2 linked regions of the Oreochromis niloticus genome follow. The protein of the gene in region 1 purifies or fractionates together with the protein of each later gene. This does not show direct contact. Links are inferred from orthologs where the notes say so. Each region holds a gene or a part of one and is shown on either strand. Other genes may lie near its edges.

What was found.
Region 2: the proteins of fbxo36a (region 1) and skp1 purify together in Homo sapiens (affinity purification with mass spectrometry; 3 studies listed by BioGRID and IntAct, with this or other methods). This does not show direct contact. The link is inferred for Oreochromis niloticus from reciprocal best matches to the Homo sapiens genes FBXO36 and SKP1.

What each region holds. Positions count from the first base shown.
Region 1 is NC_031979.2:12,417,509-12,424,117, reverse strand, and holds fbxo36a (F-box only protein 36a), read left to right. Parts: upstream 1-4,011; 5' UTR 4,012-4,073; coding exon 4,074-4,169; intron 4,170-4,503; coding exon 4,504-4,612; intron 4,613-4,771; coding exon 4,772-4,944; intron 4,945-5,080; coding exon 5,081-5,227; 3' UTR 5,228-5,945; downstream 5,946-6,609. Other genes in the region: E3 ubiquitin-protein ligase TRIP12, read right to left, coding at 302-399. UniProt on the Homo sapiens protein: Substrate-recognition component of the SCF (SKP1-CUL1-F-box protein)-type E3 ubiquitin ligase complex.
Region 2 is NC_031975.2:22,837,590-22,845,288, reverse strand, and holds the start of skp1 (S-phase kinase-associated protein 1), read left to right. Parts: upstream 1-4,611; 5' UTR 4,612-4,767; intron 4,768-5,409; 5' UTR 5,410-5,412; coding exon 5,413-5,509; intron 5,510-5,655; coding exon 5,656-5,729; intron 5,730-7,120; coding exon 7,121-7,264; intron 7,265-7,699. UniProt on the Homo sapiens protein: Essential component of the SCF (SKP1-CUL1-F-box protein) ubiquitin ligase complex, which mediates the ubiquitination of proteins involved in cell cycle progression, signal transduction and transcription.

The sequences.
Region 1 (6,609 bases):
CTGGCCATTATCACGTCTGGAGATTCATGAAAAATAAAGCTAAAAGAGGTTTAATCACCGACTATGACAAAAGAACAAAGATAAGCTTTTCCTTTGATTACATAGGACAATTTTACCATTCAGCAAGTTAAAATACCAATTAACTACAAAGACACACAACCCAAATACAAATTCCCCTCTACGAAACATCATTTCATCTATTGCTCTTTAAAGAAAGGTTCAACAACTGCTGCCCACAAACTACGGCTGCCTTTTAAAAATTCTTATTTTAACTGGACAGTAAGGATGCAGGTAGACTCACCTTCCAGCGACTGTGTGGTCTTGTGGCTGGGCCGCAGCAGTGTTCCTCTGTGAACGGCGCAGTGACCCCCCTGGATTGGAATTAGGCCGGTTGGACATTGGCACCTCTCTCCTGAAGGGACATACCCTTTCTAGACACTACCATTCACTGTAATAAAGGGAAAAAAAGAGACCACAAAAGAACATTAACAAAATACAAAGACCACCCTTAAACCTGCACCCTCTCACCACCACCACTACCAAGTTGTCTGTGGTTTAAAATAAGCTGCCGTCTATTGAGATTGCATATCACTGAACTACAGGTTCACCCCTTTGACCCCTTTGAGATGATCAGTGGCAAAACTTTCTCAAGATTGTACATGAAGATGCAACATCTGGGTGGGGGCTGGCAGCAACACCACATGCCAGTAACTACATCCCCTCATAGCTGAAAATCAAAAACAGGGAACTAAAAACTTTTAAAGACTTAATGCTAACTATATTACTATGACCCAATATGATCTGTTAAAAATAAATAAATCATAGCACAGAGCACAGTTCGTGTTCCTAATCTCTCAATAACAGTCACAACAAAATGTATACTTCTCTGAATAACATTCAGTAAAATACAGCAATGCCATTAACATTAAACCTTACTGCAAATATCAAATTTTACTGAAATGTTTGAGTTTTTCCCCCCACACAGTGCACCATGAATATAAAGCTATCACCAAACACCCTACTTACGCACAGTATAATACATTTTTACACATTGGTACCTTTAAATCTTTGGCAGAACGCACTACTGGAACTTTTTCACATAATTAAAATCATCAAAAGGATCATTTTACAATTTTCTTACAACAGCAAAAGATTCCTTTGTGTATTATTAACCAAGGTCACAGCCTAATTAAAATAAACACACAATGCGGTAGACTACAAATTAATTCTTTTTTGGTTTCAGTTTAAGTCCTAAACTAACTGCCAACAGCAATTATGCTTCAAAATGACTACAACATTGTATAAAATTTACATATCTGATCCAGTGTGCTTAGTGTTAGGGGTACAGTACAATCTTAACGGTTTAATTGATCAGAATAGTACAGAAGTTTTCTTTTTAACATTAGAAGTGAATGTATATATCTAACTCACAGGAGTCAATAAAGTGACAGTACTAATAAGACAATTGATTAACTTGATCTAAACACATACAGGAAGAGGATTTCATTATTTGCTAGACAAAAACCATTGAATCCCTAAATAAATATTTTTTAATTTATTTTCAAGAGTATCTGACTATTTAAGTCACAGTTTAAACTATGATATCACGGATACTGATGATAAAAATACGCCACACTTGCCAAGCTCACTGGGCCATGTTAGGCCTGCACTGACAGTGCATCCTAGTCTTTGTTATTCGTCCATTCTGACAACTGGTGTTCCCCACTCGAGTATAATGTATTAGTTAAGCTCATCAAATGATTTACAGCCTCACATAGACCATCGACCCAGTTTATCTTACCACGTAACTAAAACAAGAACTGAAGTGTCCGATTTTTTATACCCATGATTTACAGAGGCCTATATTTCTGACGTAGTTGTCTACCACCACCGACTAACGCTAGCATGTTTAGCCACTTAATATCCTAGCAAGCCCCATACATTTTAACAATACCTCCATCGTATCGATTTATTTATACATAAAAGCTTCACACATCCAAAAGCGAAGCTTGTGGCGTTTACATCGTGAATCTAAAAAAGAGAAGACGCTAGAAGACTTGCTAACTGCAGACCAGCAGTTAGTTAAAGTTACGCTGGCTAACGTAGCAAAGGTTACACTGAAATGCGTAGTTGGCGTGCCGGTGTGTCAACCTATTCAGCTAGTACCCTAGCCAAACAAATTGTCACATTTGAGAAGCTAGCTTGTTTGTGTTACGAAACGACATAATGCTTACTAAATGGCAAAGACGCCCCTCCAACTGGCGAATAACGATCGGGTTCATCCGAGACTAGCTTCACGTCGAAAAAAGGCAACATCGACAAAACCCGTCTTTCGACAGCGGTTTAATGTAATAAAGCTAGCAGGCTACAAGTAAACTAAAGCAAGCTAAGTTGGCAGTCGGATTGCCAGGACACACAGCTCTGTGTGTGTACGCGGTCGGGGCTGACAATCAAGTTTAGAGAAAAGAGAAATACGTTTGTGTTTCGTAAGCAAGCTCACCGTCTACGATTGATGGGGGTAAATAAATCCAAAATACACAACTGTCACCTAGACAGGTAACGACGTCGATACAGTTCTACACTCTCCTTGCAACTGTCAGCGCGAATTGTTATGTACAGATAGACTAACTAATGTTGGTAAGCTATAAGGATGGCTAACAATATTTTCTGAGCTGACTTAAGGCCAGTGCCTCCCTCTCACTACTACAGCGCTGGCTAGCCTGTTAGCTACTGTTAGCCAGGAAGACAAGTTGACCACTAACAAACAGCGTGCCAGCACAGCGCATGGTTCTTGTTAAGACTTGGGTAAATGGGACACATAACGCCAAACATCTCATTCAACTACCGTTAAAGTATCTTGCTCAGAATTCAAAGCGTCACGGCTAGGTTATCATTAGCAAGCTAATACTAGCCTAGCCACAGCGAGGGTTTCTTCAATGACCGTTCTCTCGCAAACAGTAAGCTGACAAAAAAAAAAAAATAAACAGCCGGCTATTGGCTTTAAAAGACCTCGCTGTTTTCAATTAAGCTGGGCGCCGAGGTGACACCACATTACTAACCCCGTCGAGACCGAATTAGCAGCTACAGGACTGTCACGCAGCTTACGATGTTTAATCAAACAAGAGCGTTATAGCTGTTACCAGCTAACCTTGGCATGCCAGCTAATTAACATTAGCGAGCCCTGTTGTCGCTGGCTAACATTTTGCCAGCTCGACAGGATGGTTAAAAGGATTTGTGTTGAAAACAGCGTTTTTAGCAACACCGCACCAATTCAGTGTTTATGATACAGTTTTGATCAAAATTTCCCCAACATTAACAAGTTGTCTAGCTAGCAGTTAGCAAGTAAACGCTAACTAGCAAAAAGAAATGGCCCCTGATACCTTTTAGACACACAAAAAAACAGGAAAGCAGGAACGGGATTCGAGTTATTTTCGCAACACCCATTCCTCCGATGTATTTCGAGGTTGAATACTGTCAAAATCCCAAAAGACTACAGGTTTAAATGTCAGTGAAAATGTCTACCTTTTGGTATAATGTTGTTACCTATTTGTTCCAGTGTTGTAGTTGTAACAGACAGTGCACCAGCTCCTCTTTTCTCTCTACCACTGCTAGTTTCACATCAGCTGAGGGGCCTACAACCGCAATATACCTCCGCGTGATTCATCCGCTCCGGGACTAGTTTGCTCCTTATTTTCTGTGTCTGCTTGCTTTAAGTCAACAAAGCGAGCGCGAGCACTGGATCGGCTGCTCTTTCGAAACAAAGCTACGGGTTTCTAATGAAGACAACTGAACTATTTTTGTAGACATCCAGAGACAGTCGCTGAATCACTGAAGTCATTGGTAACATTAGCTTGTCACAAATATTAAGTATCAATCCGCTGGGTCGTGACCCTCCTCCTCCCCCCTTCAACAGACATATATGAAACAAGCATATCTGTAAAATTATATGTCCCGCATAACTTTTTATTATTACCTAACATCAATGATAAAGCAATCGGTCCGTTTCATGAGTCGTTGTGCAAAGACAGTTTTAGTTGCTTTTCAGTTGTCATGGCAACAGATTTGCGTCCAAAATGGCGTCTTTGCTTGGGGAGAGACTGTTTGAAATTAGTGGTCAGGGTCCGCCACCTCCAAAGGATTTTTTTCAACTTGTCATTACCAAAAACGAGGTTACGTATTAGGACGTCTTTCTTTATATAACAGACTTTCGAGGAGTAACTGTATAAAGCGTGCTAATAAAAAAATCACTCTACTTGAGGCTAGCTTAATTTTCTTAGCTTTAAATATGGCTTTGCTACTATTTTCTATTTTGCATGCTTAACCAATAGCAAGCTATTTGTTAAATAGCAAGCTATTTGTTAAGCAAGATTTGTTAGTAAGATGTTTTAATAAAATCATTCGCCCTGTTCCAGTAGCATATCGGCATCTTGTAGCCACTACTTCAAGAGTGTCTCCTGGATTAAAGTCTTGAAGTCCCATCTTTGTTTTTCCCTCTAAATTTAGGTAATACTAACCTCATGGAGGATTTCTTTGCGACTTGAATGCAGAGGTCTTCCCCCAAAGCAGCAGAGGACATCTCATCAGGACTTCCAAAATGATACAACTCTACAGTGTAAGTTTTCCTCATCGAAATCATCACTCCCCTTCCATGAAGTTCTTGATACTAGTCTTTTCTAACCTATTTCTGAATCTTGTTTGGGTTTATAATTTGACATCGAAACTTTTCAAGGATCTAACTGCAGGGCTGTGTTTGTCGACTTATCATCTGCAGATGAAGTCGGTGCTGTTTTTGGGCAAAGGATCCTGGATTACACAACAGCACTCTGTCAAGGAAAGTTTGATTACCTGGAGCGTTTACCTGATGACATCATGCTCCGAATCATGTACTGCCTTGAGCTGAAAGATGTGGCACTGCTGGCACAGACGTCACGCAGATTCAAAACGGTGAGGACAATGGTAAAGTACTGGATTTGTTCGATGATACAGAAATAATGCTTTAGTGTCTATTGTGTTTTCCTTGTGTTCAAATTCATTTGTGTTCACGTGTATGTTGTGCTGTGCTCTAACCGGATTGTACCAGCTCTTCAGCTCTGAGAAGTTTTGGGAGCAGACTGTGAGGACCTGCACTGGGTTTAACAGGGACGTTGAGGACATAGCCAATGCCATGGGCTGGAAGAGCACCTTTCTAACCTTTTTCCACAACAGTGATGATAAAAAACAGCAGTAAAACATATATTTAAAAACAAACACTTTTATTATTGTTCCAAAACAAGTAAAATCACACTGGCTCATTAGCAAACTAAAAAAGACTTCAGTAATGAATGAGGGCTTTTGTGTGTGTGTGTGTGTGTGTGTCTGTGAAAAATGTGAATATTCTCCAAAGCAAATCAGTACTTTTGCATTACAAAGGAAAGTCTTGCTTACAAGTTTTGTTTTGTTTCAAAGAGTGTGCGTTGTGTAAGATTCCTTGTAAATGACATTAAATTGGCACTTTGTGTCTGGATGACAACCTGGGGAAATTAAAACGTAAACAGACTTACAGAAAAATACGTAAGCAACTGAAGTCCTGCTGACATCATGTCATACTTCCTGTTTACATTTGCTGGTGAACTGCTGGCTGCGCCCTCTGCTGAAAGCCCTCAACCAGCCTCCGCTGTCTTTGCATACACAAGGCAGCCTGGCTTTATGTGGGATCACTGAAGCAGCCAGCAGAGGGAGCAATGTCACAATGAAAACGTCAAAATGAGTCAGATGACAGGAGGAGGAGGAGGGGGGAAATCAAGTATGTAAAGGTAACGTGTGCAAAACAAGTGCTGTAGTTCTGGTTACCATATCAAGGCCTAAAAGACTCCAACTTACTTATTCTGGATTAAAAGCTTGTGCATATGCGTGTGTAAGGGCATCTGACACAGCGGTCCTACCTACCTCTCCTGAAACCTGTACCAGCAAGCTACAGTAACATATGACAAAGGTACGCATTGTTTTTCTCTGTTTACAGGTACTTTTAGAATCAGAGCTGGCATGTTATAGTGAATGTTAAAAGAATAACATAATACAGTCCTATTGTCATGTAAGAATGCCAAAAAAAAGAAACAAAACCTAAGTAAGCCTTGTGTTATAACAAAAAGAAGAACACGTGTTAAACTGCAGGTAGTTTTCCATAAATGACCGCGCCTCCCTGCAATATCAAATATTTCTGTGGCCAAATGATAGCTGTGTGCCGGAGTGATCTGACATGACAGCATACAGCCCTGAATGGTGGGTACCATGGCCTATTATTAGCCCCTGACACCGCCTTCTCAGCTGAGTCTGGTCTAGGAAAAATATTCATTACGTAACAATAAAGAATCTGTCTCCCAGACCCACTTCCCGAATACCACAGCAACAGCTAGGCCTCACTCTGAGGCACAGAGACATCAGCCACATCCATTTGATTACTGGCGTGGTGTAGGGCTGTGTGGGTTTTTTCATGCTTATCCATTTACTGCACACATTCACAACACCACCCCTCCTTCTCAGTTCCTCTTTGTGGGTCAGTGATGCAGCGGGAGTGACGCAGCAGTAGCAGCAGCCTCCAGAAGGCAACTTTGCACAGCAGGAACCGGGAAC
Region 2 (7,699 bases), on another chromosome or scaffold:
GCGCCATGGCTTATATTGAGTAGATCTGAACGTGATCTGTTTGCACTTTTGTAAATGAAAAGAAATGTAACATATGTCAAAAGATGGAAAAGATTTCACACTACAGATGTTTCTTTTTTTTTCCTCTTTTTTTCTTCCCAACCAAAGTTCTACACACAGGAACAAGAAACCTTGTGTAACTTTTTTTTTTTTTTTTTTAATTAATTAATTTTTTTGCTTTTTGTTTTGTTTTTTGCAGTCACACAGCTTGGTGTTTAAGATTACATGGAGTGTTCATCCACTTCAGCTCACTGACTCCCTCTGAGCTACAGCATCTGTATTAACCGAACAATTTTATTAATAAAGACGAAGGTGGCTTCTTGATGTGAATATGCTGTTGTTTTTTTGTTTGTTTGTTTGTCCTCATATAAAACAGTGTTATGGTTTGAATTACACTGTCCTTGCATTGTCCTGGGATTAAATTTCAATTTACATTGATGCCAAAATTTACCACAATTTAGCATTTTTCCCAGCGATGAATTTCAAGTATGAACCCGGTTATTTTATTTTTTTTTAATCTCTTTTATGTCTTAGGAATACTAGTTAGAAGTATTTTACTTATGATGTCAAGAACTTTATCCCATATTTGGTGAATTATTTTTGTTATAGCAATTTAAGTGATGATGCAAAGCCAATAATAAAATCTGGCAGATGCCTCTCGGCCAGATATCACTGTTTTATAGAAGGTGATAGCATGTGGCTAAGACTTCCTATGGCTGTGCTTGTCTCAGCAGAGCTGAAACAGTCTGTTAGAGAAGGTGGTCAAGATCCTCCATGATGGTTTGCTCTCCACCAGTGCTTCAAAAGTGTCCAGTTTGCTGCTAATCACAGAGCTAGCCTTGCCAGGCAGTTAATTTACTCAGTTGGTATCTCTTCTCTAAAGCTGCTGCTCCCCCAGTCGACCACAGTACAGTGAACGGCAGTCACTACATCTCAGTGATAGAAAATCTTCATTATTTTGCTGCATGCATTGAATTTTGAGGAAACCAAGCTTGACCACTCCACAAATTATGAGGTGAAATCTCAAAGAACATTAATAACCCCAAAGATAAGTGATCTTTTATGAACAAGGATGCTTATAGAACTGATACATTACAATTTATAAAATTTTGATTGTATCTGACTCTTTTTTTTTTTTTAAATTAAAGTTTTTAGCTGTCATAACACCCACTGTGCATTTTTTGTGTGTGTCCTACTGCAGCTAAAGTGCTGTGATGACTTACTATTTTGAAATTAAGTGGCATCAATTCAAGGATGACTTTCAATGAGCACTTGAACGCACCATGGAAACCGCTTGAGAGGATCCGTAATAGGGGAAAAGCGCCATCCAATGGTAGCTCCAAATACTACAATAAACGCTGCTGTTTGATAAACAACACATGCAGGGGTATAATTTTGGAAATTACTGTATGAAACAAGGCTTATTTAATATAATCTAGCCCAAGTGAATCTTGCATTCATATTTAAGATAGCATTTAGAATATATAACAGAATTTATGGTATTGCCCAGATTTATAAACAATTCCTTAAAGTCATTCAAATGATTAAAGAAATGATGAGGCATAGTTTTAGCTTGAAAAGCTGAGAAATTCCTTTGTGTTTAACCCAGTTATTATAACAAACTATAAACAATATAGCTGAACTGATTAGAATAGTATATAGCTCCATACATCCATCAAGCCATTCTTTTCTGCTTATCCAGCAACGGACAGTGAAGAAAAGAGTACACAGGGGGGAGCAGGTGGTTACATGATTTGGGAACGGTGACCCTAAAAAAGAGAGGAGGCCTAGCTGGAGGTGGCAGAGCTGAAGATGTTCAAATTTTTATTTGGGAGTGAGCAGGATGGACAGAATTAGAAATTGGTACATCACAGGGACAGTTTAGGTTGAGCAGTTTGGAGATAAAGTTAGAGAGGCGAAGCCGAGATTGTTTGGACATGTGCAGAGAAGACAGAGTTGATATACAGGACAAAGAATGATGAATAGGGAGCTCCCAGGCAGCAGCAGAAGAGCAAGACCACAGACAAGGAAGAAAAACAGAGGGTTTTTCTGACAGGACAGGATACTGGGGTGATGATGGAGATGATGCTCAGCAGATTGTTAAAGGGAACAACCAGAAGAAAAAGATTTTAATTACACAGCAATGTTAAACATCTCAAATGTTTGAGACTTTGCTAGATTGTCTTAGTAAAAAAACAGTCTTGCAAAGGTAGGACAGCATTAAAGTGGGCCAATGTACACTTTAACCCCCACCCAGCGTGGAGAGGCATCCAAGCCCTCTCCAACTACATGGCCAGAGCCCTCCAACCCTCAACAGCAGCCTCAAACTTGCAGAGGAACTCAACACCTTCTTTACTCAGTTTGAGACCACCAGTTGTCTTGCTGGTGGTCAGACAACAATCTGAAGCTGAGAGTCCTTAAAACAAAAGAACTCATAATGGACTTCAAGAGGCACAGACAAGTCCATTGCCCTCTCATTATAAATGGAGAACGGGTTGAATCTGTCTTCATCTTCAGGTTTCTGGGCACCCACATCTCTGCTGATCTCACCTACAGCCACAACACTGACATCCTGGAAAAGAAGGCCCAGCAGCGGCTGCACTTCCTCCTTTAGTTACACCCTTTTTATACACGCTCTTTATTACTCTGTAATATTCTTGTCAATCTTCTTAATATTTATTTATAATCACCTCTATTAATCCTTGATATTTATAATTGAGGGATCTGTATATATTAGTGCTATTTCTTAAATGTGTAAAATCTGTAACATAATGTATTGTTTGGAGTTTAGTCTGTTACTGTTACTATTTTTACCATTTCTTCTTGGAGCAACTGTAACCCACATCATTTCCTTAGGGATTATAAAGTATTCTGATTCTGATTGTTTCAGGATGACCTGCCATTATCCAATGACACATCTGCTTACCTGTATCTTTTGCTCGTTTCTCCTCCTCTTCTTTTCTCTTTTTTCTAAACTGAGCATGGCTTTGAACTTTTCTTGTCCATCTTCCATTGGTTTTAATCTTGCACTCCAGTATAAACACCCATCCCCGAACCCGAGGATCACCACAAGATAACCTAACAAACCTACACCTTAGTTCACAGAGTCACTTTGTCTAGGGTTTATTTCTGGGATTTCGCACAACCCAGGATTCAAATCATGAATACATAATGGGCTTGGATTTACAACATGATGAATGACATGTGTGCTATTTGGAAGCAGCCGGCCCCCTCCCCTTTCGACAGGTTGTGTGTGAGACTTCAAATCTTAAAACTGTAAATTATAAATTGTTATTGATCCCTTTACCCCGAGTCCTAAAGTGTATATTTATTTTCTTGCTCTTCTTATATTTATTGTTTGTTTACTTGCACTGCTGTAACTGGAGCCTCGTCGTCTCGTCTCTCTATATACTGGACTGTATGTAGCGGAGATGACAATAAAGTTTACTTTGACTTCAGCAGCAAGCAGGCGCACAGAGGGCTCTCGCGCTCACTTTTCGCGTATAGAATTTCGAAAAAACATCGGTGCAAATTATGTCTGGTGTTTTCGTGTTTGTTGGTTTGTTCTTATTTTGTTTTATTTTGCAAGTTGGTTATTAGATGCTGCTCCAGCCAGCCAGAGACTCCCCCGCCGCCCCGCCCTCTCCTCCCTGTGCCGCAAGCAGCAGGCGCACCTCGCAAACGGAGGGCGCCCTTACTCCCCGCAAATGGGCGAGGGAAAACTGATCGGTGCCTATGACATTCACAAAATGCGCTGGCATGACGTCGGTGGCAGCATGAGTACAGCAATTTTGTATTTATTTTTTTTGCCGATGCCCGTGATGCCGCCCCCCACCACGATGCCGCCCCGGGCAACCGCCCGTGTCGCCCGTATCAAAAACCGCTACTGTCAGCCAGGATAACCTGGAACAGAAGCTACTGCTGGCTTTCTACTGCTCCTCAGTGGAGAGCGTGCTCTCCTACTGCCTGGGTAGGCAGAGGCCACAACTGAGAACATGAAGGCTGCCCAGAGGGTAATTAACACCACCCAAAATATAATTGGCTGCCCTCTGCCACCCCTGGGGACCATCACTAGCTCCTCCTGTCTAAGGAAAACCAAGACAGGTGACCCCTTGCACCCCGCTCACCACCTGTTTGACCTGCTGCTCTCTGGTCGTTGCCTCAGATCAATGGAGGCCACACCTCCAGACTCCCAAACAGCTTCTTCCCCTGGGTCATTCGGACTGTCAACAAACACTATCTCTCTAATGTGTGAGTTTTGTATATTGTTTTGTATACATTCCCTCTTGGCTGTATATATTTCTCCTGTTTGCTTTTTATTCTTGCTGTCCGCCACAGTTGGTGTGGAGCACCCACGATTTCGTTGTACACGTACAATGACACGTGTGGTGGCTATCCTGTTCTATGCTAATATACGGGAAAAAAGTGTGCAAACCTAACATGCCTATCACATTATACATATATCTTGGAATAATTTAAGAGACTTCGGATATTTCAGAATACCAAAGGCAGAATGACCCTGAGATTATCAGTCAAAGAAGGGTGGATAATTTGAGCCCATACTTAACCCCTCCCCTACGAGAAAAAGACGCCGGAAGGTAGGCTCAGGCTTCTTCTTAGGTTGGTCCAGAGACTACCACCGGTTGTCTGTGTCTGCGTGTTTGTCGGGTGCTGCTGCTGCTGACTACAGAGGAAATTGACCTCTGGATTATCGTTAAAACAGTCACGGTACGTAGCTTAGTTAGCCCAGGTTGAGTTTTGCAGCTTGGAATGAACTGCTCTTTGTTTAATTTTGCTTGTGTCTTTATTTGAATAGCCTCGCTGTGGCGGCTAAGAGGCCTCAACTAATGTCGACACTAGGTGTTAGCTTAGCTAGAACATTGTGCATGGTAACGCTAGCTTCCTGGTTAGCCTAAATATTAACCGATAACATTAAAATATTATGGTTGAACAAAAAACAGAGAAGCCAGCTTTTATGTGTTTTAAGTAATAACACGCATCACCTTCAGTTGTATATAAACTGTATTCAAATAAAAGGTTGCTGCTCGACTAGCATTGCCGCTGTTTAGCCCGTGTCGTCGGTAGCTAATCGTTGGTTAGCTTGAGGTAAGCTTTAACGTTTGTTTTGAGTTAATTTTTCTAATACTAAGGTCCGCACAGGTAATTTTATTTATTTATGTAGTGGGATATTATTCCCGTATTCGGCTAATAATCATATAAACTGTCTTTCTTGCGATAGCTGACAAATTAACTCCCAGACGTAGAATAGCAGTTGCTAATGCGTGTTTACTACTAAGGGTCGTAAGTTTGTTTTCAGAAGTGTTGTCTCCTTGCAGAGGCGTTTAATATCTTAATGTGTTGCCTTTATAGATAATGCCCACAATAAAACTACAGAGTTCTGATGGGGAAATCTTCGAGGTGGACGTTGAGATAGCCAAACAGTCTGTCACCATTAAGACCATGCTTGAAGGTAAGTGTTGAATCGCGTTAAACGTTTAGGTTTTCAATTCACAACTGACCTAAATGGGAAACCCCACAGTTCACAAATATATTGTTTATACTTCACTTAATTAAACCATAATTTGGACAAATGTGTAATGTTTGAATCTTTGACAGACTTGGGAATGGATGATGAAGGAGATGATGATCCAGTTCCCCTTCCTAACGTGAATGCTGCCATCCTCAAGAAGGTACAAAATGCACATATTGCAGTGTCCAGTGGGTTTTTTGTTCACACACAGACTGTGTGGGTGGTGTTTGTTGGATGTGGGAGGGGTTGATTCCTTGTTTCCTGAGATGCTATTAACTAATTGCGTTCATCTCGCCTGGTCTGGAGAAGGGTTATGGTTTAGATCCATGGTTCCCAAATGGTGTATGTTGTGAGGCAAATGCCCTGGAGTTTTCTTACAACCTTTGTTTATTATAATATGAACAAGTGAGGAATGAGCTGCTTATTTACTTTATCAGCAGACCTACTTGGTACACACTCATTTCCCATACATAGGCAAATTATATTTACAAAAGTGTAAGGTGGAACCCAGCCTGTTGTGTGGCCTGACACAAAGCCTGACAAGAAGGAAGATGACAATTTGAGATGGGGAGTGAATGACTTTCTTTGGTAAAGTAAGTAAACACTGGTCCACAGATTTAAAATGAATAAATGTCCGAAGACAGCAGTATTAAAGCTAACTCTCGTGGCTTCAGGTGGTCCGGGTTGGCAGAAATTGTTTGGCCATATAATCATTTGCTAATCGAAAAAAGAATTTGGAAGAAGAGGCCATAGAATCTGTGTGCCTTGAATTTTTTGGCTTTGCTCGTGGTTGTAGTTGGGAGGCAAATATAAATCAAAGCCTGTGATGGTGTCCTCGACGATGATGTAGACTTCTGTATATGGTGAGAGGGTCTAAGCAGAGATCGTAAGAAGTGGCAAAGAGTGGTACTTTGTGTCCTATGGGTAAGCTCGCCTAAGAATTTGAATTGGGTTTGGTTGTCTTCCCCTTATAGTTTTAACATTTTAGCACTGCCAGGCTAAAGCTGAAATAATAAGCTGAAATGATCTTCTATGCCAGTCAATCAAAATGCATCTTAGAAGCACATTGTAATAATCTAGGAAACTTGTGTTATAGCTGGACAGTGTAACAGTGTTATAGCTGGAAAGAGCTGCTGATGTATTTTCTGAGGGTAATGTGCTCAGATGTGGTTCAGAGTTTCAACAAAATCTGAACATCAAAGTTTTGAAGGTGGACCTGGAAAAATGGACAAAATGCGATTGTTTCTCATCCTGTTTTAGCTTTTATTTTCATGCCAGCAAATCATCTAATCACATTTTTGGCAACAGACAAGTCCTGATTTTTTTTTTTTTTTTTCTTTCTCCTTACTACTCATTTCTACACTTCCTTACAAGGAGGTAACGACCTGGAATCTGTGTGACTTGATCCTAATTTGTGGCAAATAATTGCCATTTAATTTTGGTATTCAAACCTTTTATGGGCAGTTTTAACACAGCTGATGGGTGCTGTGCATAACGGGTTACCTTGGTTAAAACCATGTGTTTATTTGTTATTTTCTTTTTCTTTTTCAGGTCATTCAGTGGTGCACTCATCACAAAGATGACCCTCCTCCTCCTGAGGACGATGAGAACAAGGAGAAAAGGACAGATGACATCCCTGTATGGGATCAGGAGTTCCTCAAAGTGGACCAAGGCACCTTGTTTGAACTCATTCTGGTAAACATACTTGCATTATTTTGCATTTTCTTTGGATTGAATTACAACTAACAGGTGTAAGCAAAACCCTGCCCTATACCTAACCTTAACAGCAACACCTGCACATGGTTGATTATCATATCATTACATATGGATCTTACTGAGTTATCTATATTTGTATTGAAGCAGTTTTAATAGAAAAAGGACTTTTTTAAAACAAAAGAAAACAAAAATAGTGGTTAACAGATGCTCGGTTAAACTGCAGGCCTGTCAGTGGTGTCCCTGCAGTTAGCTACAGTGAAGTATCCCTTCCTTTCTTTGCAGTGACTGTCACATAATCCCACTGATGTGTCTGTCACTTAATCCTCCTCCTCCGAGCTCTGAGCTGCTGCACTTCACCCAACTTTTTTCTTTTTTACTTTTTATTTTATTTATGTCCTCCACAATTGCTACCCA